4 linked regions of the Drosophila melanogaster genome follow. The protein of the gene in region 1 interacts with the protein of each later gene in a pairwise test. Each region holds a gene or a part of one and is shown in the gene's direction. Other genes may lie near its edges.

Region 1 (6,888 bases):
TGTGGGTCGACACTACTCAAATAATATTTATTGTTTCTGATTTTTCTTTAGTCATTATTATTACGCATATTTATTATGCATTTATTAATTTGTTTTGCTGTGGTTTTTCCCCACCTTCCACACCCCGACGAACGGACAAACGGACAAACAGACGAACGGACACATACGGACACATACGGACACGGACAGGGGAATACGGATACGTCAGTGGGCAGGTTAAACATTTTCGTTTGATTTGTTATCATTGTGGACCGCGTTTTTGCTGCTTTTGTTGCTGCGGCTGTCGTGGCTCGATGATGGCGTTTGTAATTTCGTTTTCGGCACTACGTAATTTATTAACTTTTCATTGAAAGTTATGTGCAAACGCACGTTGACGACATCTTTAATTAATTACATTTTAACATGATAATTAATAGTGCCGCGTGCGTCGACAGGCCGACAAAGCCGCCAAAGTGCCGAGTGCCAAACGCCAAACGCCGAACACCCCAAATGCTAAATCAATCGATGGGTGCTGGCTCCATACCCACCTAGAAAGCCACCTGAATCCGCCCGAACCCATGCCGAAATCACCCAAGCCCGCGACCTTAAAGCAGTCCGATCTTGAGTTAGGTTATGGCTACGTGCCGGCGATACGAAGTTGGCTCGGCTTTAAAGCCAAGCCCATCCATCCATCGGGGAGCATCGATAGCCATAATAATAACAGCGGGCACAATCAAACACACTCAGTACAAAGTCGTGGGCACTGATGATGACCATAATGATACACAAACAATTGCCAAGGAATTTCAATTCAATTCCCTTTAATACCCATCAATTGTGCACTTTTCGGCCGTGTTCAATTGCCTTGTGTCAAGTCTAAAGAAATAAGTCTTTCGTGATTTTCAATTCGAATAACGCTTAAAGAGGGTATATTTTTGCATGTAATGTATAAAGTTCTTTTAAAGGTATTTTTTAAGGCATATTTAAAATCCGACAACAATATGAATTTGACTTACATCAGGACAACATCAATAGGGAGTATTCCTGAGTCCGGAGAGAGTTGCCTCCATGGCGAACCATTTCCACTACTGCGTTTGTACTTTCTGTTTTTCCGCATCTTGGGTGTGTGCTTGTGTTTTTTTATCATTCCGCCTTGTTCACAGGACTCTTCGTCCTGCTGGCCGCCCAAGAAAGTTGTTCGCACAGTAGCAAAGATTGAGTTCTTATTCAATTTGTACGGATTTGTTGTTCGCCGGTCCTTTTGCAGTCCGCTCTTAAAGCCTAACCCCAAAAGCCTCCACACCACCACACACCCCCCCAGCTCAGTTGCTCCAGGTCCTGTCCAGCCACTCATCTCGGCCAATCCCAATCCCCAATTGGCCCCGGCTCGAGCCCACTCAACTTCTCATTCTTCTTCGGCTGCTCTATTGGAATTTATTTCATATTATTTTCGTTGGTCATGCCACAGTTTGGCCCCGTCAATATTTCTCCCTACCCCTTTTCCTAATCCCAACCCTAGAACACCAAAACCCGAACCCCCGAACTTAAACCACCGGCAATACAAGTTGGCACTGGTCGGCATTGTTTTTGGGGTGCGATGGCAAAAGTTCTTCGTGTTGTGGACCCAGCTGCAGTCAATTTGAGTTGACCACCCAAGGAGCACCCAGGACCATCCAGGACCATCCATTCAGGACTATCCATTCAGGACTATCCATTCAGTACTATCCTGCACTTTGGCTGGAGGCCTGCAGATGGATCAAGTTAGCTGCTAGTTGACTCCTGCTGCCAGTCCAACGAATGCTCGGGGCCAATCAATGCGCCGGCAAAAGTATGCTACGAAAAAGTTGCTGTCGAAACGGAACTGGAAACAGAGAACTGCAGCCCGCCACTCGCACTCTACGTCCACCCGATAAACACTCGGTACTCTAGGCACCCCGTTTTTTTTGACACCCTACTTGCGGCAACACAAAATACTCGAGTGTTTTACCGACGTTGTGTTTTTGTTACGAGTAAAAAAACCACCCGAGGCCTGCTGCGCAAGAGCCGTATGGGTGAGTGGACGCACAGTCAACGATCGGCCGCAGGTCATTTTTTGTATGCGGGCTGCAGTTCTCTGGTCATTTTTTGTACGCCTAAAATTTGTATGGGTGGAAGCGTGACGGGTATAAGAAATGAAGGGTAAAAGGGAATACCCAAGAAAATTTTTGTGCTCATGTCTTTGCTCTTTGATGGACTCAATGGGTGCCTCCCATTTCAAACACATAAAGTAATTGCAATTAAAGACGGCATTTGTTGATTTTTACGTTTTTTAATGTCTCAATCTAAATAATAAAAACATAGTGGGCTTAAAAAGTATCTATTAAATATAAGGACTTAATGTTGTTGGATCAGGTAGTAAGTCATCGACGTCTACCTGTTCCCCATAGATAGCGCCGATTTGTAGGAAAAACTTCACCAAATTTTTAAATCCGGCTCCGGTTACTGCAGAAAACGGCCGACAATCTTGGACAACCCATTGGGTGCATTTTTCAATAGCTACTTTCTTGTCGTTTTCCGAAACAATTTTTAATTCCGTTGGTCGTCTTAATGTTAGACAACATTTATGGCGGGATAAATTGGAGGTGTTTTTGTGTAAAAATTTGAGCACTTTCTGGCATTGCCTGCAGAACAGCCATCCGTCCAGAACAGTTTCATCTTCCTTTAAAATGTCACATAAAATGCTCCAAATAACACTTTTTCCTTTATGTTTATTGGCAACTGAGTATGTTCCATTGTTAATTTTATTTTTAACGAAATCAGCCGCTTCTGCCATTATTGTGACCTTTTCCTTTGGCTTCCAAATAATACTGAATCCTAACAAGCTAGTAATTGCATCGTAAAAAACAAAAAAGGGGCAATTAACAGCCGAGACACTGGACCAAAGACACAAGAACTCAACAATCATTATGTATGGCGCCATTTGACTCGACTACCTACGAGACCACTCGAGTATTTTTGGAAACACCCGAGTATTTTTGGAAACACCCATGTGTTTAACGGTATACCCACAAGTGTTTTTCTCACTCATCCCTTTTTAGGCACTGTGTGAGCGGCACCCGCGACGCAAAACACCGTATTGATTCGGGTGCGCACACAACGGGGTGTCTTGTCTGCATGTTCAGATTTATACTGTGTGTTTGTAAGTACCCGCGATGTGCGTGGCGAGTAGCACCCGCACACAAAATTGTAGGGTGTGAGTCGAGTGGTAAAAAAGTGCCACCCTTGCAGTTCTCTGACTGGAAAACCATGAAAATGTCCTTGCCAGCTAAATGCCACTCTCTCTCACACACACACAACCACACACACACGTCCAATGCAGTGCGGGAAATTTCTTGGTATAAACTTAATAATGCATCGGGGCAAATAAAGGAAAAAAGCAAAAGAAACAACGGCAAGTCGGAAAGCCAACATAAGTTTTGGGGCTAACTTGTTATTTTTGTAATTGGCACTTTGCAGTTTTATTGAAGCGTTGGAGCCCCGAAAAGGGCGCTCGGGATTTTGGGGGTTACCACTCCCGTCCTTTGTGCGGATCAAAATCCAGATTGGTTATTTATATACTGCGTTCGTTCAGGTGTTGTGATCGATGTTCTGATGCTGCCTCCCTAACCACTCAGCCGGGAGTGACTCAGTGACCCTGCCGACATCCATCCCTGGTCGTAATCTGAGGTGGCCAACGTTAGCCACTTTGGCGATGAGCAGCCTTTGTCCCCTTGGCATACTGGCTGCACTGGCTTGGTTATTGGTTATATTTGGTTCAGGAACTTCGGGATTTGAAGTGGGTTTGGATTAGACAACGAATGATTGCAACGAAGGAAGGGTATGCAAGCATACTTCATAATGAGGATTGTTAGTCCTTGTAGCCATTTTAATTCTCATGTTGTATGTCGTAAAAGGTAAAAGGTATAAGTATTTGAATAAGAACGAGAACCCGATACATTTGTGTATTGCTTATGATATGGCCATTTTAAATCTCAAAACATTTATCTAGCAAAACTGAGTTGATAAATCGATTAAACAGAGTTGGCCTGGACTCGGTCTTCAATGTTCTGCCAGTGGGAGTCATTTGGATTCAGTCATTCCAGACCCCAGTCTCAAGGTAGCAACTTTCAAAATTTTTAGTTCCTGTGTTCGTAACAAATAAGTGAAATCGCATATCGTGATACCAGACTGACAGAATCGATAGAATTCTCGAAGGAACGAAGAGAAGCGCCGAAAATGCATGTGGTGGGGGCACTGGTCAATCTGCTGCTGATCTTGGCCTGCATTTACACGATGACCTCACTGACCCCGGCGGACCATCCGTATGCCTTCCTGGCGGCATCCTTCAGCCTGGTCCACGGAGTGCTGGGCGTGGTTCGCTCCTTTGCCAACGAGCCCGACGAGTGCGGACGCACCTTTATGATCTCAGCCATCATACTGGAGGTTATCCCGCTGCCACTGGCGAACATCGAGTTCTACCTGGTATCCGATCAGTCGGGAGTGGCGCTGGTGCACGGCCTGTCGTTGATTCCACTGTTCTACGACATGATCGGCAAGATCAGCGAGGACTGGGACAGCTCCACGGAGACGCTGATGGACCTCGCTCTGTTGGGCAACATCGGCTCCACGTTGTATCTGGCCATCAAGGACGGCAACCATATCTACTTCGGTGTGGCTGCCACCGCGCTCCTCGCCAGATACGGCGGTGCAATTGTCGATAGCTGCAACGAGGGCCTTAGCAACGTTGTAGAGACTCTGGGAAACACCGGCATCCTGGCCCTTATGACCTACGCACTCACTGAGGGCTAATTGCTAAAACTTAAATTTGATCGGTTCGCGAAATAAAGCCAAGATGATGAATCAGCATTTGAAATTGGTTGAGCCAACTATCATTGAATACAAGGCACTAGGGATTTGTAGTTTGGGGATATGAATTACAAATCTACAATGAGAAAGGAATAAGCAATATAGCACTACTATATAAGCCATAAACCATGTCAAGGGTATACAGACTTCGGTGTGCTGCGGCTAACTAGCCTCACTCACTCGCGCGACTTCAAATTGCCAACTTAGTTGTTATTTGTTCGCTGTCTGGCTGAAGGGGCAGCGCGAAAAAGACGCGGTTCAAGGGCCGAAGGACGACGGACGACGGACGAGGGACGAAGGACTGGGGTCTCAGGACGAGGGACTCAGGAGGGCAGAGAAGGAAAGGGACGGGGCAATATTCGTGGACGCAGCACTGTGATGGCTCTCACGTCACCACTTCAGCAAATTGCGGCAATAATGCAACAAAGGTTTCTTGGGAAACACATACCAAATTGCATAAGCAAGGCAAGGCAAGGCAAGGCCACGGAAGCGGGGTGGTGTGGCCCGCTTCCTTGGGGCGGTGCTGGTGGTGGATGGATGTTCACTCCTTGGCGACTGGAGGACTGAAAGACTGAGAGACGACGTCAGTCGCTTGGCCGCCAAAGCTCTTGAACCGCCACACTCCTGCATTTCATTTTCAATTTGATTTTTTTCTGCCCTTTTCTTTTGGATCTTTGTTTTTTCCGCCACAGAATGAAGAACGAAGAAATTCCCCTCAACGACTCTGCGCCCTTGTTTACATTTTTGTTGGCTGTTGTGGTTTCCGCTTTTGGGGCCCGCGTGCGATTCCGTTTTCGTTTTCGTTGCAACATTTTTGTTTGTAATTTACTTTGGAATGCTGGCGCCACAGTCGCCGTCGTCGCCTTGTGCGGTTTTCTTAGAAAAATCTCCAGTCGCCGTAATTGCAGTGCCCGCAGTGCCGCCTGTAGTGCTCCGGACGACGGACTCCGGACTCCGGACTCTGGGCTCCAAACTGCCATTGCCGACAGGCAAATCAACTGTCACCCAGTTGCTCAGATGCGGGACCACGGGCGGTATGAGCAATTTCGCATTCCTCATACGCCGCGTGGGTCGCAAAGGGAGTGGGGTAGGTGCAAGGTAAGAAATGCGGGTGCCACTTTAAGCTTGCGTCCACAAAACATACCCAAATATCTTCGCTTTGCATAACCATTTGTCTGAAGAACGTTAGGCAGTAAATAATATATATGTACATACATATCGGCGAGTTAAGGTATGATGATGCCTGAATGTGTAACAGAACAGATTTTGCTTCTGCAATTACAATGGTGTCCCTTCAGTTTTTAATGGTTAAAATTACGCATATATATTACGAGTGACGGGTATATGACTTATTCATTATTCTGCCTATTTTGGTTGGCATACAAACAATCAGCTTTCCAATAAAAAAGACATTTTTCTGAATATGAAAGTTTTTTTTCTACATATCCCTTTTTATTTCGATTGGGTATCCTAAATGTAGTCCATCGCATCGCCACAATGTGGCCAATGCTAATATGCAGTCGGTTCCTTTATAGATAGGTTAAGGCTTTCCCTTTTGTCATCTTGAGCGGAATGTGATGTGTCTTGGTCCAATAAGAGGTCCCGAGGAAGGGCCATTACTTCCTGTCATCTCTTGTCTAAAGGACGCTCTAGTCCTTTCAGCGTTCCGATCAGGCGAACTTGAATGTTGGCATCACTGGGTAGACTCATTCACCATATTCCATGGCGCACACTTAGTCTGGGTTGACTGATTGACCATATTGGATCTATGGGGGAATTGAGGCTCCCACTCTTTCGGGATTATGTTTGGGGAAGTGGAACGGGCTGCGTTGATCAGCATCTTGATGATCAGTTGTGCTATCAATGTGGTACTTCCGGTTGGGGTTCTAGATGAGAAATAAATATAATCGAAACGGGTCAAAGCCAATTGTCAAAAATATGCAAGGCCATATAGCGCTTAACTATGTGAGCAAAGGGTATCTAATAGTCGCGACACTCGATTCTAGCCGTCTCTCCATTAATTAG
Region 2 (8,486 bases), on another chromosome or scaffold:
ATATACTAAAATCGCTTAGCTAAAGTCGCGATTGGTAAGAACAATGGGCGCTGCAAGGCTCCAGCCATAGATGAAGACACCCAGCCAACTGGAGACGATCTTGACCCACATGGAAGCCTCGTTGCCGTTGAACAGCTCGATTTCCGAATGAGGTCTGTGGGAATAAAAAATTGCTGGGATTATATTTTCCTAGCACGATAAGTGCTGTTGCTACTCACTTGTACCAGTTGGTCAGGGTCATCATGACATAGAGCGAGGCGCAGACGAAGACCAAGTGGAACATGGACCAGGAGTAGGTGACGCCTTCGGTCTCGGTGTCGGTGCTCGGCTTTCCGCTGCCATCCGTGCCCGCCTCTGTGTCTGATAGAGCTTCTGTTAAAACTACATTAATCAGAGTGCAAGAGGAACGCCAGTTGGCCATATTTTTCACACAGTTTCGAGTACCAAATAACCAAGTGGGGATTAGTTGGGTTAGTCGGAAAAGAAAATAAAGAATAAACAAAGCGGCAATAGCAAACGAGTGTTAATAACCAGTATTAGCTTGGGTTTTTCTTTTTTGTACAGCGAGGAAAATGAAAAGTGAGGGCAAAGCGATCGAATGAATGCGTGATGCAAACTGTGGAAATGTGGTAATCGCTGGGAATGCGAACGGAGCACGGCGAATGGAAACAGAACACTTACCACGCTTCTCGCTATTATCGTGCGAGATCTTGGATACCTCCACCGCCGAGCTAATGCAATTGTACAGGATGCACAGCAACCAGACGACCAGTCCGATGATGTTGGTCGTATCGAAGGTGACCCTGGTGGTGTGGGTGGGCGGTGCTGCCGTGGTGGTTGCATTGCCGAATCCCTCCATCATGCCAAACATGCCTGGATTGCATTCTTTCTCTGTTGATTCAAAACAACCAAATGAGATATACACATATAGGGTTCTGGATTCATTTTCCTACCAGGATTGTTGGCCACTGCCGACCAGGTTAGATACACCGTGTACAAGGTAACCAGGGAGCTCTGCAGTAGGCCAGAATGGGGCAAGCGTTCCTGCACAGCTGGCAGAATCGAAATGACGCTAATCGCCAGACAGAATATGAGATTGATGGAGATGAAGAACTTGTTGATGCCGCAGCCAGTACTCTACAAATATAAAAACAATGCTAATTACAAAGTAAATAAGCCATAGAAACGACACTCACGGTGGTGAAGTAGATATAAAGCAAGGTAATTCCAGTCAGCGATAAGATATAGCACAAAAGAGTGACCCCAGCGAGGGCATAGTAGTATCCACGACTGTTTTCGGCGCTTTCTGTTGAAAGAATTCGATAATTAGCGAGTTGAATCATTTGGGAGATGGGCCGGAACATGACTCACCTATCCAGTTTTCAGCCAGCGAGTGAGCGAAATCCACAATGATGACCAGCTGGACGAGTATGAAGGCCAGGCCACCAATTAGACCCACCCACATCATGGCCGGACCAAAGGATCCATCCGGAATAAAGATGGCTCCAATCGCAGCGCCAAAGCAGATCAGAAATTTCAGTGGCCAAAAGTTGTTCTGGATGTGCGAACGCGGATCCCTGGAGCTCTTCACACCCAGCATAATCAGTGACATCAGAGCGAAAAAGCAGGCCATGCCAAAGCAAACCCTATATACTGCCATGTAACCAAGTGCATACTCGCAGTCGACTTGCAGAGATCCTCCCGAGACAGCGCTGAGTGCTCCCGAGCTATACGACGAGGTGGAGTTGATGCAGAAGGGCATCTTCTTCAGGGTGTCCTGCAGTCCAGGGGACAGCGCAATCGCCCCCAGTACGGTGCCCACCAGGAGGATGAAGGCGTACATGAAGCGCGATGAGGAGGCGTTGGTGCAGCTCGGGCAGGCGGAGCAGCACATGCTGGCTGCAGTGCCTCCACAGCACATGGCGCACTGGAAATGCAAGAATTAAGTATTAAATGGAGACGCAATTGAAGAATTATTCTATTTGATCCAACTTGCTAATAAGTTTTGTCAATAATCCGGATTAATTGAATGATCAACCATCGAAAGTTAAGTTTGCAATACATTTTTCATATTGTTTTCAACTTATTAAAAATTTAAAAATTCATTAAAGTATCTAATAGCTCAAATTGCAAGCTAAATCTTTCTTTTAGATGAAAATCATAGCAGCATTCATGAGTATTGTGAAATTAATAAAATGTTGAATTTCTCCGCATTTGAAACATATGTCTGCTTTTATTGATTTGTAGCCAATGTAAAGAATTTTACCTGGCTAATTAGCTCGCAATTTTCTTACCTGAGCGGCTGAACAGATGCCCAAAGCAGCTCCCATTGTTGCAGCAATAAACTTAGATTTTTACTTTAGTCAAACTGCGTTTTTATTAAATTAAACAAATCTTTGTTTGTGAAAATGATAGAGATGGACTATTTACTGCCTATAGTGACTATCGAATACAGCGGCTGGCGATATTTTTCAGCAATCGTAAGCAGTTGTAAATTTAAAAGTAAATGGGATCAATTCTTTCGCATATTTGCATTTTAAAAATGCTCTTTCAATGTCTTAAATTTTTCAATATGTTTCAAATTTTAAAATTTATAGTTTTAAAATTGAAGTAAATTACTGCAATTTTCTGTACTTCCACAGTTGCCATGCTGATTTCTGCAAAAGTCGGGAGGTGCCATCCGTTCCCTATTCAAATTTCAAAACTTCTGCCACTCCCTCCCAGATGGCGCTTTGCAGTTTCTCAAAACAAAATAGTTTGTCTCCTAAAATAAACTAACAAACGTTATAAATAAACATAAAACATTATTGAAAGCTGAATGAGAGAGAAAGTTCAGATCAATTTTTGTGAATTAAATCATAAACTAATATTATATTTTGAATTAACTTAACTATTGTAACAGTTATTGATAGAGTCGAAATAGGTAATACAGAAAAAGGTTCTATTGATAGTAGTTTTAAAAGGGTATCTGTTCAGTCAACCAGCTAATATTACCGCTCATAAATCTTTAAATGTGTACATAAATGGAGATGTTCTTAATTTTAATAAATCTAGTCGCGAAACTCGAAACTTTACCTAAGGATCGAGAAAACATTTGTTCATAAATTGAGCGTAAGCATAATGGAATATTATTTAAAAAGTTACTTAATATCATTCTTTACTTGTGTTATAAATTAGTTGCTTATAATTTAGGTTGACTCCACAATTTTAAAATTTTTACTCATATAAGTTTTTATAAAATCTATTCCTTGATCTTAATTTCCAGTCACTGGAAGTGGGTTATTTTTAGTGCATCTGCACTCGGCCGATTGCATTCGAGAATACGTTCGCACGCGGCATCTGGCCACACTGCCTGCAACGCTAGCTCGCCTTCGCAACGCGAATCCGCTCATTTCAAATTTTCAAACTCCCGAGAGCGGTTGCGGCGGTGTCGAGACAGCGGCTCCTGAATCCATCCGAATCCGAAAGCGAATCGCATCCAGCCAAGATATCCTATCGTGCAGCTGAAACCCGAAACCCGAATCCGAGTTCGAAACGAAACGAATCGCAGTGGTGGTTTCTCTCTCGCTCTCTAGCTCTCCCTCTCTCTCGCGTGTGTGTATGTGTGCGAGTGGCAGGAAAAGTGCGAAGCCGAAATCTTTTTAGCTGAAAGAAAGCGCAACTTCAATTAGCGAAAAGCAAGAGTAGCTAACAAAAAGAAAAGCGGATCGAAAAGTAAAGAAAAACAAAAAAAAAAAACAAAAGCAACAAATCGAAATGGCAAGCGAAGTGGCCCAAATACCCGCCGAGGAAACGCCCGCAGTGGCGGCGGCGGAAAAATCAGAGGAGCCGGAAAAGTCAGCGGCCCCGCCAGCGGACTCAGCGGCCGCTCCAGCTGCCGCCCCCGCAGTGGAGAAGGCTGAGGATGCCGATGGCGAGAAGAAGGACGGCGAGGCCGGAAAGCAGGACAAGCAGCAGGATGGCGAGGAGCCCAAAAAGGACGAGGCGGTGGCAGCACCCGTGGCGACCAAATCGGAAGCCCCGCCCGCCCAGAAATTCAATGTGCACAAGACCAACTTCGAGAAGGACATCATCTATCTGTACCAGTTCTCGCGCACCCCACTGCTGCCCTCCCTGTCGCCCTACTGCCTGAAGGTGGAGACCTGGCTGCGTCTTGTGGGCCTGAAATACGAGGTGAGTGGTGGTCATAAATCCGGGGAAAAAAACCATAGAAAATTCATGAAAACCTCATTATAAATCGAGCCATCATTTGGCATCCTTCAAAGTACCCAGGATAATTAGGGAAAACCCAAAAACGGACTAGGTAGAATCCCAGGAAGAGCCGAAAACTCTCAGATATTCCAGAAATCCCAGATTTTCAAGGCATTTTTGCGGTACAGATTTTTTCCCAGCTCCTGCGGGAGAGAGCGAGAGAGCTCGGGGAAGAGAGCCAGCGCCGCCATCATGGTGTGCTGCTAAGCCTGCCCGTGTGCATGTGTGTGTGTGACCTGCCCTGCCCCGTAACTGAAAAGGGATACATTTGTGCCGCCTTCCCTCTCTCTCCCAGCGCCCATGCCTGTGTGTGTGAACCTGTAGCCTGGTCCTTTGCGCGTGTGTGTGTGCACAGCGTATACATAAAATTTGTGTGTGCGCCGACGCCGCCCCTCACCCCTTCATCTCTTTGTGCTCCCCTTTGCAAAAGTCGTGCTTCAAATTTTGCACTTGCCGACTCTCTCCTTTTGTCTCGCTCCCTCTCTCGCCGTCTGCTCTTTGTCTTTTGTTGCTGCACTGTTTTTTTTTTATTTCACTTTTCTTTCGACTTCTTTTTGCACTGCACGAAAAGTTGTCATCTCTATGCGCTGCATGCATCTTTTCTTAGCATCTTCGAGATCCATGCAACTGTGCTCTCACTCCATCCACACAACAGCAAATTTTCTCTCTGTATACTTTAGCAGGAGCAGCAGCAGCAGCTTGTAATTGCTTTTAATAAAAATTGATGCAGTTTAAGCTGGACTCAGAAATAGCTGTCTCCCTCTTCGCCTTCCAACTCCCCTTCTCCTTTTCCCTTTCTTTTCTTATCCGTTAAGTAGCTGTAATAGTGTTGGGGGCTGGGTGGGGGGAGTGGCAGACAAACAACTGTCAACGACTTCCAATGGTGCCTTCCATTTTGGCTTGTTGTTTTTTCCTTCACTTTTTAAAGCGCGCGATGCGGTTTGCATATTTTTCATATTTTTTCTGTGCGAGAGGAAAAGCGTGTAGTATGTGGTAGTGGCCGGGGGAGAAATGGGTGCGGTCACCCGCACAAAAACTGGCGACGCAATTGCTGTTTAATCTTATTAATTACATTGGTTAATGAAAAACGAGCCCCTTGCGCGGAATGTTAATTGATGCCGTCGCCTTCCAGATGCCGATAAGCAATCGCCCCCATATGTTGCATTCCACGAAGCAATTATGATTGACAGTCCGTCAGTGGCCGCTTTTCGGCCCGCAGCTGGAAATTACTTTCCATTTTCACGATTATTCCCAATTCCACTGATAAGGCGCAGGCTGCCCAAAATACGGCGGCATTCGATTAGTAGGAAGGAGGGAGTGGGGGGTGGGTAAAAAAAAGAGTTCAACAAACTGGGGACCTTTGACATTTCTGGCATGGTTTGTTGTTGCTGCAGCGCGGCATTAATCATGGAAAAAAAGGGAGGGTGACTGACTGTAAATGCAACTGACTAAGCCAGTTTTCCCCCCTGCTGCTTGCGCTCGGCTGCATTTCTTGCCTGCTCTCCTCCTTTGTGTACACACATTCGTCAGTGTAAACAAGAGCAGAAGTTGTTTCTTTATTGATGATAAACCGAATGCATATTTTTTTCACACCACATTGAAGGCGGCGCCCATTAATAAGCACAGCAGCAACAACAACAACAACTGGGCATAAGTTTCGCTTTTGAGGCGGTGGCCCGCATTGCTAGCATTCCTGAGTGTCGCGCTCGTAGATTGTGCAATTAATTTACATTTTCTCTGCCATATGCATTGCGGGCACAGAGCGATTAAAATTCAAATGGAAATGCTGGCGCGCCATTGCATTTGTGCAATATTGCCGGGCTGCAATTTCAAGGTATTCTGGCAACGCTGCTGCCTCTCCTGCTGCAACTGTACATGTGCGAATGTGTGCGTATCGTATGTCCATGTGTGCGTGTGTGTGTATGTTGGGAGGAAATGGAGTTTTTTTGCTTCTCGTTTTTGTATTTTTTACGTTTTATAGCTGCCTTTGTTTTAATTAATAAACCGCATATTTGCATTTAAACAACACACAGTGGACGGCCTTTGTTGTTGCTCACTCGCTCCAGTGCAATTCTCCCGCTCTCGCTCTCTCTCTCTGGAACTTCTGTGCAAGGGTGTGGATACACTCACACTCGCACACGCAGGCTGCATAATTGCATTGCTGTTGCTTCTTCTTCTGCTGCTGCTGACTCTTACACTGCGAAAAAAATGAAAGAACAAAGATTGAGGAGACGAGCGATTGCCTTAAGTGGCATAACGATTTAATAAAACATAAGTATTTGCATTGTGCGTGGGCACGAGAAGAGGATGGAGACGGAGCCGGAGATGGAGATGGAGAAGAGGAAGCTGGCAGACAGGCTGCCTTTTTTGTGGATCATTGGAATTGAAAAATGGACTCCACCCTTTTTGCAGAGCGTTGCGTTGCGATGCTGGAAGGCGAAAATCTCTCTACAACAACAGCGCCCTCTCTTTCCTTTCACTCTCTCGCCGATTCTCTCTCGGCTCTGGCGGACAACCACACCCTGCCTCTCCCTTTTTTGGCAGAGGGCGCGAAAGCATAAAATATGCCAACGGTTGGCTCTTTGTTATGGCCCTCGTATGTACATATTTCTAATTAGAAATTATTATGTAGATTTGTGCAGCCAAGCTGAAAATGAAAAGGTTCAGACCGGACACCCGCCGCCTATAACTGTCACATTGCTAACGGTAACGCTTCGTGCGGACGTGTGTACACACTGGAAGGCATTGGAATATGTCAAAATGTTCGAATAGCAGGCAATTGGAACGACGTTTTCCCTCCCGCTGTGCGGCGTGTGTGTGAGTGTGCGTTGTATAGGGGTGTTGGTTTTTGGGTGGGTTTTTCGGTTTTCGAGTCCGGGTTTTGGGTTTTTGGGTTCCCGGGAGGTACAGCTAGCTTCTCGTGTAGTGGTTGGTTCATCAGCATCTGCTTGGCATACATAGGAAATGCCCAAATACACACGCAAACAAACGATTGCCGGCTAGATGTATGTCATGAGCGCCATCTAGCGGCCGGAATCCTTGCGGGGGAGTGAACTACATTTTGCATTAGTCATGGGCGTACAAATAAAAAAATTCCTTCCTGGTTCCATATGGACATTTACAATTTATGAGTATCTTTAGAATCTGGGTTACAGCAGAACATTTACTACGATAACTATAGCAAATAATAATTTCCTATAATCCCTCTATGCCCATGAAAATTATGTCTACAAGATGAAAACAATAGAACATAAACTCAATTGCTCAAAACTTAATTAAAACAGTAACAGTAACATAAAATAGTGACTAAAACTTCCCCAAATTGATTGTACTTGTGTGTATCCAAAATGATGGCCATGCTTTGAAAATGAACTCTTGTGAAATACGATTGCCAATTTAATGACCAACTAAGGCAATATTTGTTCTCACTGCATGAGTGGCATGCTGCCCGCAGATAAAAGGGTGGGGTAAACAATCACCCACTCCCCCACATTCCTCGCACAATTAGTCATCCCACGCAACAAGATATAAAATGAACATGTATTCTCTTTCCGGCCTTTGCAGAATGTCGATCATAAGATGCGTTTCCGCTCCAAGAAGGGTCAGCTGCCGTTCATCGAGCTGAATGGGGAGGAAATCGCCGATTCGGCCATCATCATCAAGGAACTGTCGTCCAAATACGAGAAGTACCTGGACTCGGGACTCACCGCCGAGCAAAGGAATGTCTCGTACGCCACGATTGCCATGCTGGAGAACCATCTCATCTGGATCATCTTCTACTGGCGCGCCAAGTATCCGGACAATGTGCTCAAGGGCTACAAGGTCAACTTGCAGCACGCCCTCGGCCTGCGGCTGCCCAACTCGATTCTGAACTTCTTCTTTAAGATCACCTTTGGTCGCAAGGTAACTGGATAGTTTGTGATATTTAACATACATAGGTCATGATCGTGGTCCACGATCTTCACTTTCCCCGAATTTGTATGGTTATGATTAGAATTTTCATTGGAACATTGCATACTTTTGGTCATTATCGTAATTGGTTCTACAGAAGTTGTTTACTATCATTCATACCTAATATTTCCTTAATATATCAACATCTTTTGACACATACTTCTAGTTGAACAATAAAACAAATTTATAGGTTTTATTGTTCGTAAAAGTAACATTTAATTACAAATAGCTCATACTTTGGTACAATTTTTTATTTGTACATTTCATAAATGCATATTAAACAA
Region 3 (7,938 bases), on another chromosome or scaffold:
CTGGCTATTTTCTAGCTAATTACCATGCACACTAATCTGTTGCTCGTGCCGAGCATCACTGGCGACGCAACACCGTTAGGCACGCGCAAAGACGCAGAGAAAGAGTTGAATGAACTTTCCAATGTATGGCCGTTGCGCCGCCGTGGAAAAAGGGACAGAAACCAGATTGTAAGTGAGAATTAGAACCAAAAAATCCAAACAGAACGAACCAGAGAAAGCAAATGGCGAATAAAAAGTGGTTTGGTTTGCTCAGGCTAACCTAGATTCGTGGGAGGAGAAGAGATGAGTTGCCCGACAACTTTTTGTTGCCTTTTGTTTCCATTAGATATTCTCAGTCGGAGATTATTGAAGCGGATGTGTGATATGCTGTGGCCACGCCCCACGGGCGCAGTGTTAGAACAATAACTAGAAATGTCGATAAAACGCAAAGCATATGCTGCGCACAACTTATTGTTTCCTTTGGCATTTAGTATTTGCAAGAATACAAAATTATAGCAGGTTTATGGCGACAACAATAACAAGTAGTACTGCAGTATAAGGCTATAAGGCCTTCTCGCTTGCGTGCACAGGTGCGGAAAAGAGATGGCACTTGCGTTTGAGAGAGCGCGCTCCTCCCTGCCCGTCACAAAAAAAACACAAGATGACGCGAGAGAGATAAAAACAGTTAAACAAACGATAAATTTGCTGGAAAATCAACTAAACAAATTTTCCAGGCCGCCGATTGGAACTAGTCTGTCAGTTGGCCCATTGATCAACTAGGATTTGCCGTGCAACATGATAGTCCAGATTTCAAGTCAACAACAACTGCCACGCAGACAGATTTTCTCCGACGCTTTGAAAGACCACGTAGCCGCTAAGCCGCATGAATCAGCGGGTGCGAGTGAGAGCGCGCTAGCGGCCGGCGCATTTCGCATTTTGATATTCGATTTTTGCCACATTTTGTTGAGATTTTCGTGCCTTATTTTCGATCTAAGCATGTACTTACAGAACTCGACCAGCACGAACTCGTTGTCGGCAATCAGCTGCTTGAAGTTGTCCACCGTCGCCACCAGAACACCCTCCTCAACTTTGACCTCCGCCTCGGCGGAAGCGGCCACGTAGGACGCCGCCAAGAAAAGTGCACAGATCAGGAATTTCATTGCGGGCACTCGTCGTCGTTTGATATTTATTGAATCTATTGCCCTATGTGGGTGCAGCACACTCGCCAACCAAAACTGGGATTCGAACTGCGCTGAACTTGCCCGGTTGCAAGTAGAAATTCAAATGAATTCAAGTGACAGTGAAACGCAGAGATATATACATATAAAGCTGAATTAGGTGAGGGATTTTTGGTATTTCTCTACAAGTTTCCGATAAATTTTACTAATATCGATATTTGTCAATGAATGAGCATTGAACTGTAGGTGGCGCTTGGGTGCCCAAAGGTTGGCAATCGTCGAAGGTAAATTTTTTTAGTTTAGGATCTCGTTTATATATTTGAAGTTTTATTTTTATATTTAACTAATTCAGTAATGTACTATTTTTTTTTTAAATATTACGGTTTTTTCGAATACCATAATTTTAAAATATTGTGATATAAATAGTATCGTATTGTATTGTATATAAGTTAACTTGTATTTAACATAAGGCAATTTGTAAAGGCCTTATAATTCTTCTTTTTAATTCATTTTTTTTATTAAATTTTATTTTAAATAACTTACGTCATTCTCTTTATGTCATTTACCCTTTTTAAAATAAAGACTGGTGTTGTGTAAACGCAAAAAAGACTGTGTAATTATTAATGCAGTTGTATTGCTTCTCTGTTTCATTGTAATAAAAAGTAAATATAAAATATTGTATCTTAAAAAGAATAAAACTCATTTCTTAAACAACTTAACAGCACACATGTAAATAATTCTTAAAAAGACAGATATTGGAAGAATATTTTGCGGAATTCAGGAGTCAAAAGCGACCACCTGTTGAATGCATTGTTCGACTATGCTAAAAAGTATTTCCGAAGTCTTAACACTACTAAATGGCCTATCTACAGGAGGTACATGGACAAACAGGCTTCGTTTTCTGTCCATATCGAGCGATTTCAGATAGATATAGCCGCAGAGAAAGTCACCCACATTTTTGGATGCCTTTGTGGCGCTCAGGGATTTGAGATTATCATTATGTGTCGGCTGTTGTGTGGGTCCCACACAATCGGCGCAATTCTCATTTACAACCGCCACAATCTTATCCACATCTAATTCGGTCTTCAAGACATTTGCATGTCCATTGTTGGGTAGTTCGCAAGTGCCGTTGGCCAGTTTTTTATCACAATTATCAGCTCGGCGGAACTTGTGATTGTACGCCAGCTTCTCGATGTATACACACTTGGCAACGCCCGAAACACCGACATGGATAACAAGCTGTTTTTTTTTTGTTTTTTATTTTTTTGGGAGAAAGATGATATCATAAGGCCTCTATCTATTTATGGTTCAATTGCGATGCTTACATATGGCTGGCGTTTCCAAATCTCCGCCACCGCCTCGTCCACAGCCCCGTATTCCACCGAAACCAACCGCTTTTCCAGATCATATTCTATGCCATCGTGAGTTAGGATTTCCGGCAGCAGTTTCACAGCTTCCCAGCTGGCGTTGACCGCTTCGTGACCGAGAAATGGACCAAATCCGGAGACTACAATGAGCTTTCGATCTGACGACGCCATAACAAACACCCCAACTAAACTAAACCCCCCACCAACAACAGAACTATCTTAAATACCATATGATTTCTATCTTCTTCTTCACCCTTTGAATCATGCGTTTCAAATGTTTGCGACGATGGCGGAACGGTGGAAATTGGAGCATATCGAAGTTTTTTATTTTTCGTCATTTATAGGTGAATTAACATTATTTTATATTTTCTATTTTTTTTTGAACCCACTTCGAAATAACGAAAAAATAAATAACTAAAAAGCATCCCCATTTTCAATAAAAATTTAAACAGTAACACCAAATATACTAAACGAAATGGTATTTTTCGGTATTCCCGAACCTCGCACTTTTGGGATTTTTCTTGAACGGAAACAGACGACGCAGTATGCGGCACCAAACAGAGAAATAACACATTTAGCGACAACAACAAAGGATAAATCCATTCCATACATTCCAGAGCTAGATCCGATCCAAAGGCCAGCAATCGACCCGATAAGGCGGCGCACCAGATCCGAGTTTCCGAGCAGGGGTATATAGGTGAGCACTACCTGGTAATCTAATCGCTGCGGATGAGTGGAGGACGCTCCTCTGTTGGCAGCGACGCCGGCAGCGCACCACCCTACGCACACAGGTGAACTTTGCACATTAACTATTTATTAACCTCGAACAGGTCGCCGGTGGAGCGGGAAAAAGTGGGATATCTGAACAGCAGTTGGCCTATTTCACACAGGAAGCGGATTCTAGTTGTCCATCCGGCAGAAGAGGCCTTTTCCAATCGTTAACATGCTGTCGCGCCTGCAGGACTTCTTGTCACGCCACCGGCGAAAGTTCATAGTGACCGGCGTTCTGGTGGGCGGTACCATCTTTGCGGCACGTTATGCACAACGGCGATTCGTGGAGTTCCAGGAGAAACAGGCCAGGGAATTCTTCGAGAGAACGCGGCGCACGACCCACTTTGAGTCGACGGAGAAGACGTGTAACCAGGTGATCCTAGGCATGGGCGAGGAGATGTGCCAAGCGGTTCTGAGGGAGTGCAGCACGGACGAGCTGCTCGAGCAGCTGCGCCAGAATCCCAAGAACAAGTTGGAACTTTGGGAGGACATGAAAATTGTGGCATTCACAAGACTGGCAACCTATGTCTACGCCTCCTCCATGCTGGTTATTGCGTTGAGGGTCCAGCTAAATCTTCTCGGTGGCTACATCTATCGGGACATCATGACGGAACAAAAACAAGTCACCGACGAGCTAAAGCAGCAGTATCTCTCCCTCATCCGACACTTTATCACGGATTCGGGCATCCGGGACTTAGCCCGTTACATTCGCACCCAGGTCATCGCAGTCACCAAGACCATACCGCTCTCCGAACAGCTTTCCCTTAGCGACCTGGAGCAACTGTTTTGGTCACTGCAAATGGCCATCAATGCGGACACTCGTCGGGATCCCAACTCGCGAATGAGCAAGTATCTGCTGCCCAGCCAGAATCCCAGTCATTCGCCGCTGCTGCAAAAGATGGTCAACGAGACGCTGGATCTGTTGGAGAGCGAGGATGCCGTTGGCGTGTGCTCGCACAATGTAAGCCGTGGTTTTGTGCTGGCCTGCGATGCCATCGCCGAAAGCATGGGCGAAACTTTGCAGCATCTGCCACAAGCTAAAGTCCAAACGCAGCAAGAACAGAGCGTCAAGTTTAACCAGGCAGGAAGCTTAGGCGCCAGCACCTCGAAGAGCCAAAACGGTCTGGAGAACAATAACTTGCTGAACATCAACCGAGTGCTGTTGGCGTTGGCAAAGCTCATTCCTATCATCAGTGGTCTCACCTCGAGAGGCTTCGATACCACTTCGCGACCCCACAATCTGCCCACCCAACTGCTAACCTTCTACGTGGTCGCCGAGAAGACAAAGACGCTGGGGGCCAACGTCTACGAAAGCTTTAGCTCCGCTTAGAGGATCAACAAAACTTGGATTATGCATCCGTGCATAGGCTAGGCTAAGACAATTGGAAAATTATAGTTTATATACTTGTATATTTTTAATAAGATCTGTATTCTCAGAAGCATTGTTTGTATGTCTGCTTGAACCCAACCCGTATTAGGTTTAGCTTCGTCCACGGGGAATCCTTTCAGGGCAGGGACACAAATCGAGTAACGTGAAGGCCTTTTAATCTAAATGGAAAGTTAGGAAATGCAACATATGAGAGAATCATATAGGATGGACCTGAGGGTAGTTTAGTATCCAAACTATATGAAAATGTAATTTAAAGTGTAATTGATTAATAGAATGATAAGTGACAGATTATTTATTTATACCATGCTAGAAAGCTTGGGTCTTAATCTTAAAGGAAGTGTAAACAAATGGCAACCTAATAAACTATGCATTCCCCGTATTTAAAGACTATTATTTTGCATATTAAAGTTTTTGAAGGAACTTATTCTTTTTATTCTTACAGCTAATTAAAACAGATATTGATTTATAGAATGATAAATTATACATGCGTACATAGGTGCATACTTGTATTGAATTAATAAGAAATAAATTCAATAATTATGTCGGAGATATACGAGATTCTTATATACTTTTTCCTCCAAGTTTCTAACAGTTTGCGGTTTTAAATGTACATAATATATTAATTTAGTAACGGAGCAACGGTTATCTGATAATCGGGGAACTCGACTATAGCATTCTCTCTTGTTATAAATGCTTAATATGTATAAAAATATAAGAATTGAATTATCGAAGACACAACCCACAAGTAACGGTTGTCTTTGCTATCAGTCAAAAGGGGGTGGCAGAAAACCGCCCTGTGATAAGACAGCTGTGTCTGTGGCTTTTGTTTGTTTGCCATTTCTCTTGTTCTTGCCGCTCTCTCCCTTGTTCACTCTCTTCAAGCACTTGCGCAGAAATGCCGCATGTGCGAAGATTCATTATAATATAACAATTATGAATAACTATCAAGCAGAAAGTAACTTAAAAGATTTCATAAATTGAACCAAGTTTATGCTTAAGGAGGTGAAAGTAATTAGATACATTTACATCACGCTCGCCCCTCTGCGACTTGTTCGCTCTCGCAGGACTCTCTCTTCACATCCGTCTCTCTTACTCCTTCGGGTGCCCAGCTGTCTGGTACAAAATTTCCATTTTGGGCGCAGTTGCAAAAGTTACGTGAAAAGGCAAAGGACAACAGTTACTTTTATACATCCCTGCGAGACTTTGCGTATGTGTTGGTGTAAAAAAAATAATTAAATATACAAAAATGAAAGAAATGCATTGAATAACTGATTCGAAGCCAAGTTAAAACCGAGTGTGCAAATATGAGAAATACTGCAAAAAGTACACAAATTGGAAAAGCCAGCTAAAGGAGGAAAGCCCACCGTCAAACAAACAAACAACAACAACGGCGGCTCAATTGTGTAAGTGCACTTGCAAAATGTTTATTAACCAGTCGATGGGGCTAAAAGCCCACTTAGCCCATCAACTTTTTACTAGCCGACCACAAAATATATTGATTAAGACAAAGAGAAAACTGAACATGAAAATCAAAAGGCCACATGAGCACATGTGAGCGAAAAAGACAGACACAGCGGTATATTGGTAACGGGACAGACAGTGCGTGCGTACAGTGGTGTGGGAGGGGGCTGCAAAGGCGGTGGTGTGGGGGAAAGGCAGTAACGGCAGTAACGGGAATACCACTCTTATAAGGTCTAAAAATATCAACACTTTATTATTAGCAGGGCCACAAGTGAGCAAACTAACTAATTGCGAAGAAACAATCAAATACTACTCAAAGGCAGCTCCTCGAAACGAGTGCTCAAGAAATAATGGTAAGGCACTACAAAGTACCCTTAAAAAAGTCATGACAGTATCGAATTTGGTATAGGCTTTAAATCTAAAAAATTTAATTAAATGAAATCAAAGGATCAAAAAGCTTTTTCAAAATCTTAAGGATCAAATAAAAGTTTTCCAACTGGCATAGGTTTTAATAAAGGTTAAAAGTATATATGCACATCTAATAAAATTAAAAAAGGTTCGAAAACGAATTACAATTTTTCTTATTTTTTATTTCTTGACAAATTTAATTGGCTTTCTTAATCCAATCACTTATGTCTATCCATCTTGAAAAATCAGAAAATACGCTATTCGTCGAAAAATGTTGAACAAATGCAGAAAGCATTAATAAGATTGGAAAAATTTTAAAGAAATAACCAATTTATATATATGTATGTATATATATTTCGGATTCAAACAAATATTGGGTATATCAAAGCATAGTACAGCAAATCATAACATGTCCTTCAACAAAGAGTATTAACTTGTAGCCAAGAAAGTCAAGTGCGTCAGCGTGAAGATAACAAAGAAATGACATTTTCCCCAGCCAAAGTCCGTGTGGGAAATTCGAGGAAAACAATGCATGCAAGTCAGGCAACCCCTGCACCCATCACCTTTTTACCACATTCCTCCCCTTTAGGGTGCTTGGGGTCCTATATTGCACAGTATATATAGGCATATTGACATACTAAGGGCGTAGATCAAGTGCCATGTGACAAGGGGCCACAGCACCTAACTAAATATAAACACATAAATTAAGGAAGCGAAAGCAGGACACGACTCAAGCTAAAGAAAAGTGCGTCATGGGTTTTCCGTGGAAGGCAATTACTTGGCATACAAAGGACGTTTTTTAGAATTCAGGTAAATTGGTTAGTTAGGAGCCTTAGATTGCATGGAATGAAATTATGAAATTGAAATGGTGTATACTCTAGAGCAGTTTTAATATTATTATTAGTCAATTTTATTGAGCAATAAATATATTTTAAATATTATTATTATCTGTGATCAAATAAAATATTATTCAATTAGCGGGAGGTACCAGAAAAAATCAACACATTACTATATTTACTAATTCGCAGTATTTGCATTTCCCATGAACTCAACTGATAAGAAGCATAGAGTGAAATATCGAATAGTGGAAAAGCCGGGGAAAATGGTTTAGTTTACAGCGAACCGTTTATGCATAAGCACATAGCAAATTGAATCGGTTTGAACTTCGAATGCGGATAGTAAACTGTTTGGAGATTTTCAAAGAACCCAAAACTGCGGTATAATCAACCGGGTAAAGTGAAACGTGAATAAGAAAACTCGTATAATACTCTACTAGTACTATTGCTATGGATAATGTGAGGTGTTTTCATTACTTCGGGCTATAGATTCCTTTGCATGTGGTTTTGTTTGTTCGAGCCACTTTCCCATTTCCGTTCCTTTACCC
Region 4 (6,558 bases), on another chromosome or scaffold:
CATCGGTGTTCTCCTCCAGCTGATAGAAGACGCACTCCAGTTGCTGCTGCTTCTGGGCATGCATCTCCTTGAACGCGGCGGAGTCCTGCTCCCACTGGCTCAGCACCGCCTGCTTGTCGTCCTCGTAGATCGTCCGAAAGAACTCGATGCGATCTCTATGGGTATCTGGGTAAAGGATAAGAAATAAATGGGTTAGAAATGAGGCCTAGTTGCGTTGAATGGTTTGTGTCCATTTTAATTTTCATTTTACAATGCTTCTTATTGTTCATAAAATGTACATCAAAATACTCCAGTAATTTTTGGATTTCCAAATATTTCAATGTTCTTATTAACGAAAGCATTAATATACATGTGAAATCCATTCCATTCATTTTAAGTATCTTTAAACATATTGCTGTAGCTGTGTATTTAGTTTCTGATTAAAATGTTATTTTTAAGGATGTTATCCCAATCGTACCAACTATCCTGGTGATATTCTCCATGTGTGACTGCTGCAGATTGGCGTACATATCCTCGGTGGATTCTATGTGAGCAATGAGGCGATGGATCACCTGGTCCTTGCGCTTAAGTGCCTCCTGAAAGAAAGACTCCACATCGACGATTTCGCGGCGCAGCTCCTGGATTTTCACCTGGCGCAAAATGCTCCGCCACTCCTGGTTGATTTTAGCCATATTGAGTCGACCAAAAGCATCCTCTCTTTTCAGTTTGTTCTATTTTAATGGGAAAAGTCATACCATAGGGATTTTGATTTTGATTTACTGCAAATTCGTGGTGTGTTACCTTCATGTACATGGAAATGAGCTGCATTTTCCGCCGCCTCGTCTCTTCCTCCATGTCGGCCCTCATTTGCAAATACCTGGCCCGCTCCTCCTCGGACATGTTGGCCAATTTGTTGCCTTTTCCTTTACCCTTTTTGCCCATGATTTAGTTTTTTTTTTTTACGGCTACCAAAAATCAGCTTATCAAATTTCAAAGGCCAATCTCTGACTAATTAGGCGAGCAAAGAGCCGCCTTGGAAAATAAATAATAAATTGACTGCCGGCGTTGCCATGACAAGATTCACTAGCCCACCCACTCCATATAATTTCGCTTTTCGTCGCCAGGTTTGTTGCCATAATAATGGATGCGAATTAAATTAATGCGAAACAGTGGAAAACGCCATTAGGGCTGTCCATCAAAGGGGAACCATTTGACATATAAAACTGAGGACGAACCGCTGGAAAGCTGTCATCATGCTGAGAATTGGTTTCGTGATTTGTGTGATTATATCACTGCGCTTGGTACGTACTCATAACACCGTTTTCAATTTGTTCTGGATTGGATAATGTTCGAGGGTGTTTTTAATGGATTATCCACACTAGATCGGATTTATTGTACATAATAATTTTGAAAGTTCAAGGTCCATCGGGGATCCGTATTCGAGCTACTTTTTAATCCTTTAATATGTGCATATTTCTATGCAGAATGGACTCGTGGCTGTCCGAGTTCATTGCCGGCACATGGAGCGTATTCACGAGGAGAACATCCACCATTGCTGCAAACATCAGGATGGCCACGACGATGTCACGGAATCTTGCGCCAAGCAGACCAACTTTCGTTTGCCCAGTCCCAATGAGGAGGCCATCGTGGATGTGACCGTGGACCAGGCGATGGTTGGAACCTGCTGGGCCAAGTGCGTCTTCGATCACTACAATCTGATGGAGAACAACACACTGGATATGGACAAGGTGCGCTCGTACTACAAGCGGTACCATCAAACAGATCCGGAGTACGCGACTGAAATGCTGAATGCCTACGAAAAATGTCACACACAATGTGAGCTCATGCAAAATAACCATCAACATAGTTTAAAATTGAATTTTTCCATTCCAAATTTTAGCTGAAGAGGCCACCGAAAAGTTCCTATCACTTCCAATTGTTAGGGCCTTCTCCACCGCCAAGTTCTGTAAGCCGACCTCGAGTATCATCATGTCCTGCGTCATCTACAACTTCTTCCACAATTGTCCAGCGAGTCGCTGGTCAAATACCACCGAGTGCGTGGAAACCTTGGCCTTTGCTAGGAAGTGCAAGGATGTGCTGACTACTATGTAAGCACTTTAGAGTCCTGCCTCAGGAAATACATTTTAATTGGGAAAACGAAATGATTTTCCAATGATTAAAGCAAAACAATGGCTCTCAATTCATGTGCTCTTTTGGTTTATAAGTAATGGTGGGTGATTGAATGCCAACTCAGCAATACATTTAATTAAATGGATTTATTGTTATCAAATCACTTGCAAAAATACGATATTAACTAATGTCAAGTTGATCGTATTTGTTTACCATTACATCCCTATAAAAAAAAAAACATCCAAATATACAGAATAATTCTGAATGCATAACATTTTTTCATCTAAACAAAATAATTCGAATGTCGTAAATCGTAAATTTAATGTTCTTTATTGCAGAAGAATGATATTCTCATTATTCACAAAGTAGCCAGCGAGTCCTGGCACTTCTTGCTGAAGGCCAGGGTATCCTCGCACTCCTTGGTCTTCGACCAGCGATCCGCCGGGCAGTTGTGGAAGAACTGGCGGATGACACAGGCCAGGACGACACTAGACTTCGGATCGCAGAATTGCTTGGACATTTGCTTGAAGAGGGGCTTCGACAGGAACATGGAGGTATTCTCTTCGCCTTTTGGTGAAAAAAATATCAGTTAGCCAAGAAGTTCTTGCTGAAATAACAACTCTGTACTTTTGCCGTGACAATGATCAAAGGCGTTGATCATTTCCTTGGCATATTCCGGATCGTCGGGAAACCTTTCAGTGAACAAACTTCTCACGGCATCCATGTCCAGGTTGTTGTCCTTCATCAGGTTCAGTTTGCTAAAGACGCATTTGCCAAAACAAGTGCCTCGGATGGCTCGGTCCGCCGTGATGTCCACCAGTGCCTCCTCGTTTTGATTGGGCAGCGTAAAATTGGTCTCCCTGGCACATCCTTCGATTAGATCATTGTGTCCATCGGGATGCTTGCAGCAATAGTGGATGTGGTCCTCGTTAATGGCCTCCGTATTCTCGCAATCAATTTTAATTCCACCAGCAAACTAAGTCATGTATTTGAATATATATAAACAGTGTGAATTTCATTCCTCGAACTCACCCAAATCAGGCTGAAAAAACTCAATAAAATGGTGCACTTCATTGCTCCGCCGTTTATACCAAAATCAGCCCACTACGACAGCTTATATAGTCACCCACATATCGTTTAAATAAAAACAGGAAACCGCTGCCAATTTGCCAAATGTCGAGCCATCAGACTGTCTGCAAATGTTTCTTTATCCGCTCATTTAATTCCAGTCATTACAATGGACATTTGTTACATTTAATTAAGCAATCCAATTTGGGTTTAAATTCATTTATCCAAAATGATGAGCACGCATGGTTTTATAAATGTTATGACCATGGTAAATTAATCACATTCGAAAAGCAATGGTCAACATTGTTTGTTATTGGACGTTCCTAATTCTGGTGGCCGTTTCAAAGGCTCAGGATAATGAGGAAACTACTGCAGTTGCCATATCTTCAGGTGACTTGACTGAGGATAAGTGTAACACATCGGTGAGCTTACTTTAAAACCGAACAGCAAACGTATTAAGTCTAAAAATTCAATTTAGAGGGCTGGCTGCTGTTCTGAACTTTATATAGGAGAAGAGGAGGACCTGGTCAAGTGCTTCGTTATACACTCACCCAAGTTGCCAGTGGATGGGGACGCTGACATCGGCAAGACACTGAGGTTTCTATCGGTAGGTAATTAAAGCTTTATATATCTATTATAACGAAAATATTTGTATCTTCAGTGCTTTGTGGAGTGCCTGTACAAGCAAAAGAAGTACATTGGTAAGAGCGACACCATCAACATGAAGATGGTCAAGCTGGATGCAGAAAAGACATTTGTGGATCGGCCCAAGGAGAAGGATTATCACATTGCCATGTTCGAGTTCTGTCGCAAGGATGCTGTTGGGGTCTACAACCTTTTAAAGGCCAGTCCTGGGGCTAAGGTGCTCCTGAAAGGAGCCTGTCGCCCCTATCTATTGATGGTATTCATGTGCATCAGTGACTATCATCAGAAGCACGAGTGTCCCTACTTCCGGTGGGAGGGCACTGCCAAGGCAGGAACTAAGGATATGTGCGAAAATGCCAAAGCCGAATGCTACCAAATAGATGGAATTACACTGCCCACAAAGAGTCCTGCCTAAGAATACGTATTAAAAAAACTCAAAAATGTCATGTAATAAAATTAAGCTTATAAACGCAGTATGTTTTTTAGTTTTAATCACACACCACACACATAAATTATTCGCACTGATGAATCAGTTTCAGATTCGCTTGGCTCAAGCGGGAGACCAGGATGGGCTCAACAAGCTGATTCGATCGCCAGGTGTCAAGTGGTTCGGCAATATCCGTCCGAAATTTCGTGGCAAGGACTCCCTGTTCAATTCCTATCAGACCTACAGGATATTGGCTTTTTGCACTGAATCCTCCGCATTGGTGGCCTATGCCGAGTTCCGTAACTATCCCTCCATTGCCGCTTTGCCCACGGATTGCTGGTTGGAATGGTTGTCCACCAGATACTGGTACTGATACAAGGACTTAAAACGTTGAATATATCATCTATTTCCGATATATCCTTTAGCCTATCCATGTCCATTAGCTGGCTGAATGCGTTGTTTTTCAACTTTTGCGTCTACAAGAGCGATCAGTCCCCGGTTCTGGTTGAGATCATAAAGGATGTGCTCTACAGGGAGAGCAGGGTGTGGTTTCTGATCACTGTTAGGTGTCCGTATGTGCCACAACCCATCCACTTTGTGGAAACCTTCGATGATTTGGAAAAAATATCCCAGGTCTTTTACCCGCTGGAATATAGCATGGATAAGAATAACAACACACAGTCCCTGTACATTGTGGATAGGTTCGTAATTCTGCCGAGGATTACTTACCGGAAGGCACTGTAAGCTCTGTTCTTTGTGCTCCTTGTTCAAATTGTATACTATATCAGAAATAGCATTTGAAATTTTAAATTCAAATGCCTCTTAAAAAGCAGCAGACTACTAATCAGTTTGTCTGAAATCGATATCGCCTACTAAGATATTGTTAGATATTGTTAGGCATTTGAAGAAACTGTTTCAATAACATTCTTGTTTTGTTTTAAATATTTCCCATGAAGGGCCGAAGATAACGACGATATTATAGCAATGCAAGAGGTCGAGAACCCAGAAATGCGAGAGGAGCTGGGCGACTACTACATTGCCGAGGAGGTAATGGGACAGAATCCGAAGAGTATGCTTGTTGTGGCCGAAACAATCAATCAGTCGCAGGAGTCAGAAATGGCCATCTTTCTGTGGCTGTCCTCGGATATAGACATTATGTTCTATGTGCGCAACTACGAGATGGAACAATTTGGCAATCTGGTGAAGCCAGCGGATGGAAGGTCCTTCCACTACGAGACGATGACGGTGTCGTAAGTGATGGCTTTACGTGCGGAAAGAGTAATTCCTTACCGACTGTCCTGCAGATCGGTACAGCGAAGAGCGGAGGCTAGCATGTTCACCGCAGATGCCCTCGACGATCTGAATGCGGTGACGATTCTGGGAGGACTGCAAAAGGTTGACAGCGGTATGAGGTGTGATTATTTATTAATTTGTAAGGCAAATATCCACAATGATTTATATTTCTCAACAGCGTGGCCAGCCTGGGTAAGATGAAGGTCAGCTCCATTGGCGGCACAATTGTGGATACAAATGTGGCGAATGAAAATAAGTTCTACATGCGCGAATGTCTGTACTCCAAGTTCAAGTACATTCTTGAGAGTGAGTTGTACTGCGAATGCCGGATGCTCCGTTCATAACATGGGTTTATCTAGAACTCCACAGCACCGATTACTATCTGCGGCACGAACAAAGCGTGATTAATTTTATATATCCGGCCGGAACGGAGCCCGCAGGTCCGGCGGCCATGGCGGCGGCATCAAACGTTTTCCTTCTCAGGTGCATTGTGGCACGACAGGATTTCCCACTGCCACGCCTCTTCAACGCAATGGTGGCCATTTTCAGCGCCTATCCGGACAGGGATTACTGCATGATGCTGATGTCGGTGAAGTACAAGGCGAGCAAGAGCTATCTGGAGGTGATGCAGTACTTTATGGTAGGCCAGACTTAGTTTAAGTCAACGAAATAGTTTAAAATAGTTCATACACCAGCCAGTCGCATCACGGCCAAGTAATCTGTCCAGCCTGGACGATGTATTCATAACACATCGCAGCACCATCTTTGGGGAGATTAGTCTGTACAAACTGGAAAAGGAGGACGTGGCACATGTGCACAAGTTGGCACTTGGGAACTTGCCCAGTAACACACAAACTCCTAATTCAAGCAGCAGCAGCTTCTCGTACTGCTCCAAGGTAAACGAGCGGGAGGAGCTGGAGCACGAGCTCCATGTGCTCGATGCGATCATGAAGGATGTGCTGGAGAATGAGTTTAGTGAGTTCGCCGTGTTCACGATTCGGTGTGGGATCTCTACG

The links.
Region 2: the proteins of CG12679 (region 1) and fax interact in a two-hybrid assay, tested with the Drosophila melanogaster proteins (one large-scale study listed by BioGRID).
Region 3: the proteins of CG12679 (region 1) and Pex3 interact in a two-hybrid assay, tested with the Drosophila melanogaster proteins (one large-scale study listed by BioGRID).
Region 4: the proteins of CG12679 (region 1) and Obp58d interact in a two-hybrid assay, tested with the Drosophila melanogaster proteins (one large-scale study listed by BioGRID).

Annotation. Positions count from the first base shown.
Region 1 is NC_004354.4:20,373,738-20,380,625, reverse strand, and holds CG12679 (uncharacterized protein), read left to right. Parts: upstream 1-4,103; 5' UTR 4,104-4,233; coding exon 4,234-4,806; 3' UTR 4,807-4,862; downstream 4,863-6,888.
Region 2 is NT_037436.4:16,406,689-16,415,174, reverse strand, and holds the start of fax (failed axon connections), read left to right. Parts: upstream 1-3,346; 5' UTR 3,347-3,756; coding exon 3,757-4,173; intron 4,174-6,725; exon of another isoform or gene 6,726-6,838; coding exon of another isoform or gene 6,839-6,847; intron 6,848-7,011; exon of another isoform or gene 7,012-7,068; intron 7,069-7,815; coding exon 7,816-8,154; intron 8,155-8,486. Other genes in the region: Serinc (serine incorporator), read right to left, coding at 20-173, 219-372, 682-891, 954-1,137, 1,197-1,306, 1,372-1,927, 2,295-2,330. UniProt on the Drosophila melanogaster protein: Together with Abl, involved in embryonic axonal development.
Region 3 is NT_037436.4:15,141,315-15,149,252, forward strand, and holds Pex3 (peroxin 3), read left to right. Parts: upstream 1-3,040; 5' UTR 3,041-3,235; intron 3,236-3,354; 5' UTR 3,355-3,467; coding exon 3,468-4,625; 3' UTR 4,626-5,065; downstream 5,066-7,938. Other genes in the region: Pdi (protein disulfide isomerase), read right to left, coding at 986-1,139; CG32147 (uncharacterized protein), read right to left, coding at 1,935-2,396, 2,483-2,695.
Region 4 is NT_033778.4:22,703,478-22,710,035, forward strand, and holds Obp58d (Odorant-binding protein 58d), read left to right. Parts: upstream 1-3,456; 5' UTR 3,457-3,470; coding exon 3,471-3,599; intron 3,600-3,655; coding exon 3,656-3,784; intron 3,785-3,838; coding exon 3,839-4,237; 3' UTR 4,238-4,295; downstream 4,296-6,558. Other genes in the region: CG30259 (uncharacterized protein), read right to left, coding at 1-165, 458-710, 781-921; Obp58b (Odorant-binding protein 58b), read left to right, coding at 1,233-1,280, 1,464-1,815, 1,880-2,091; Obp58c (Odorant-binding protein 58c), read right to left, coding at 2,468-2,676, 2,737-3,085, 3,142-3,183; CG30275 (uncharacterized protein), read left to right, coding at 4,347-4,615, 4,675-4,989, 5,206-5,499, 5,554-5,661, 5,721-5,848, 5,902-6,182, 6,238-6,558.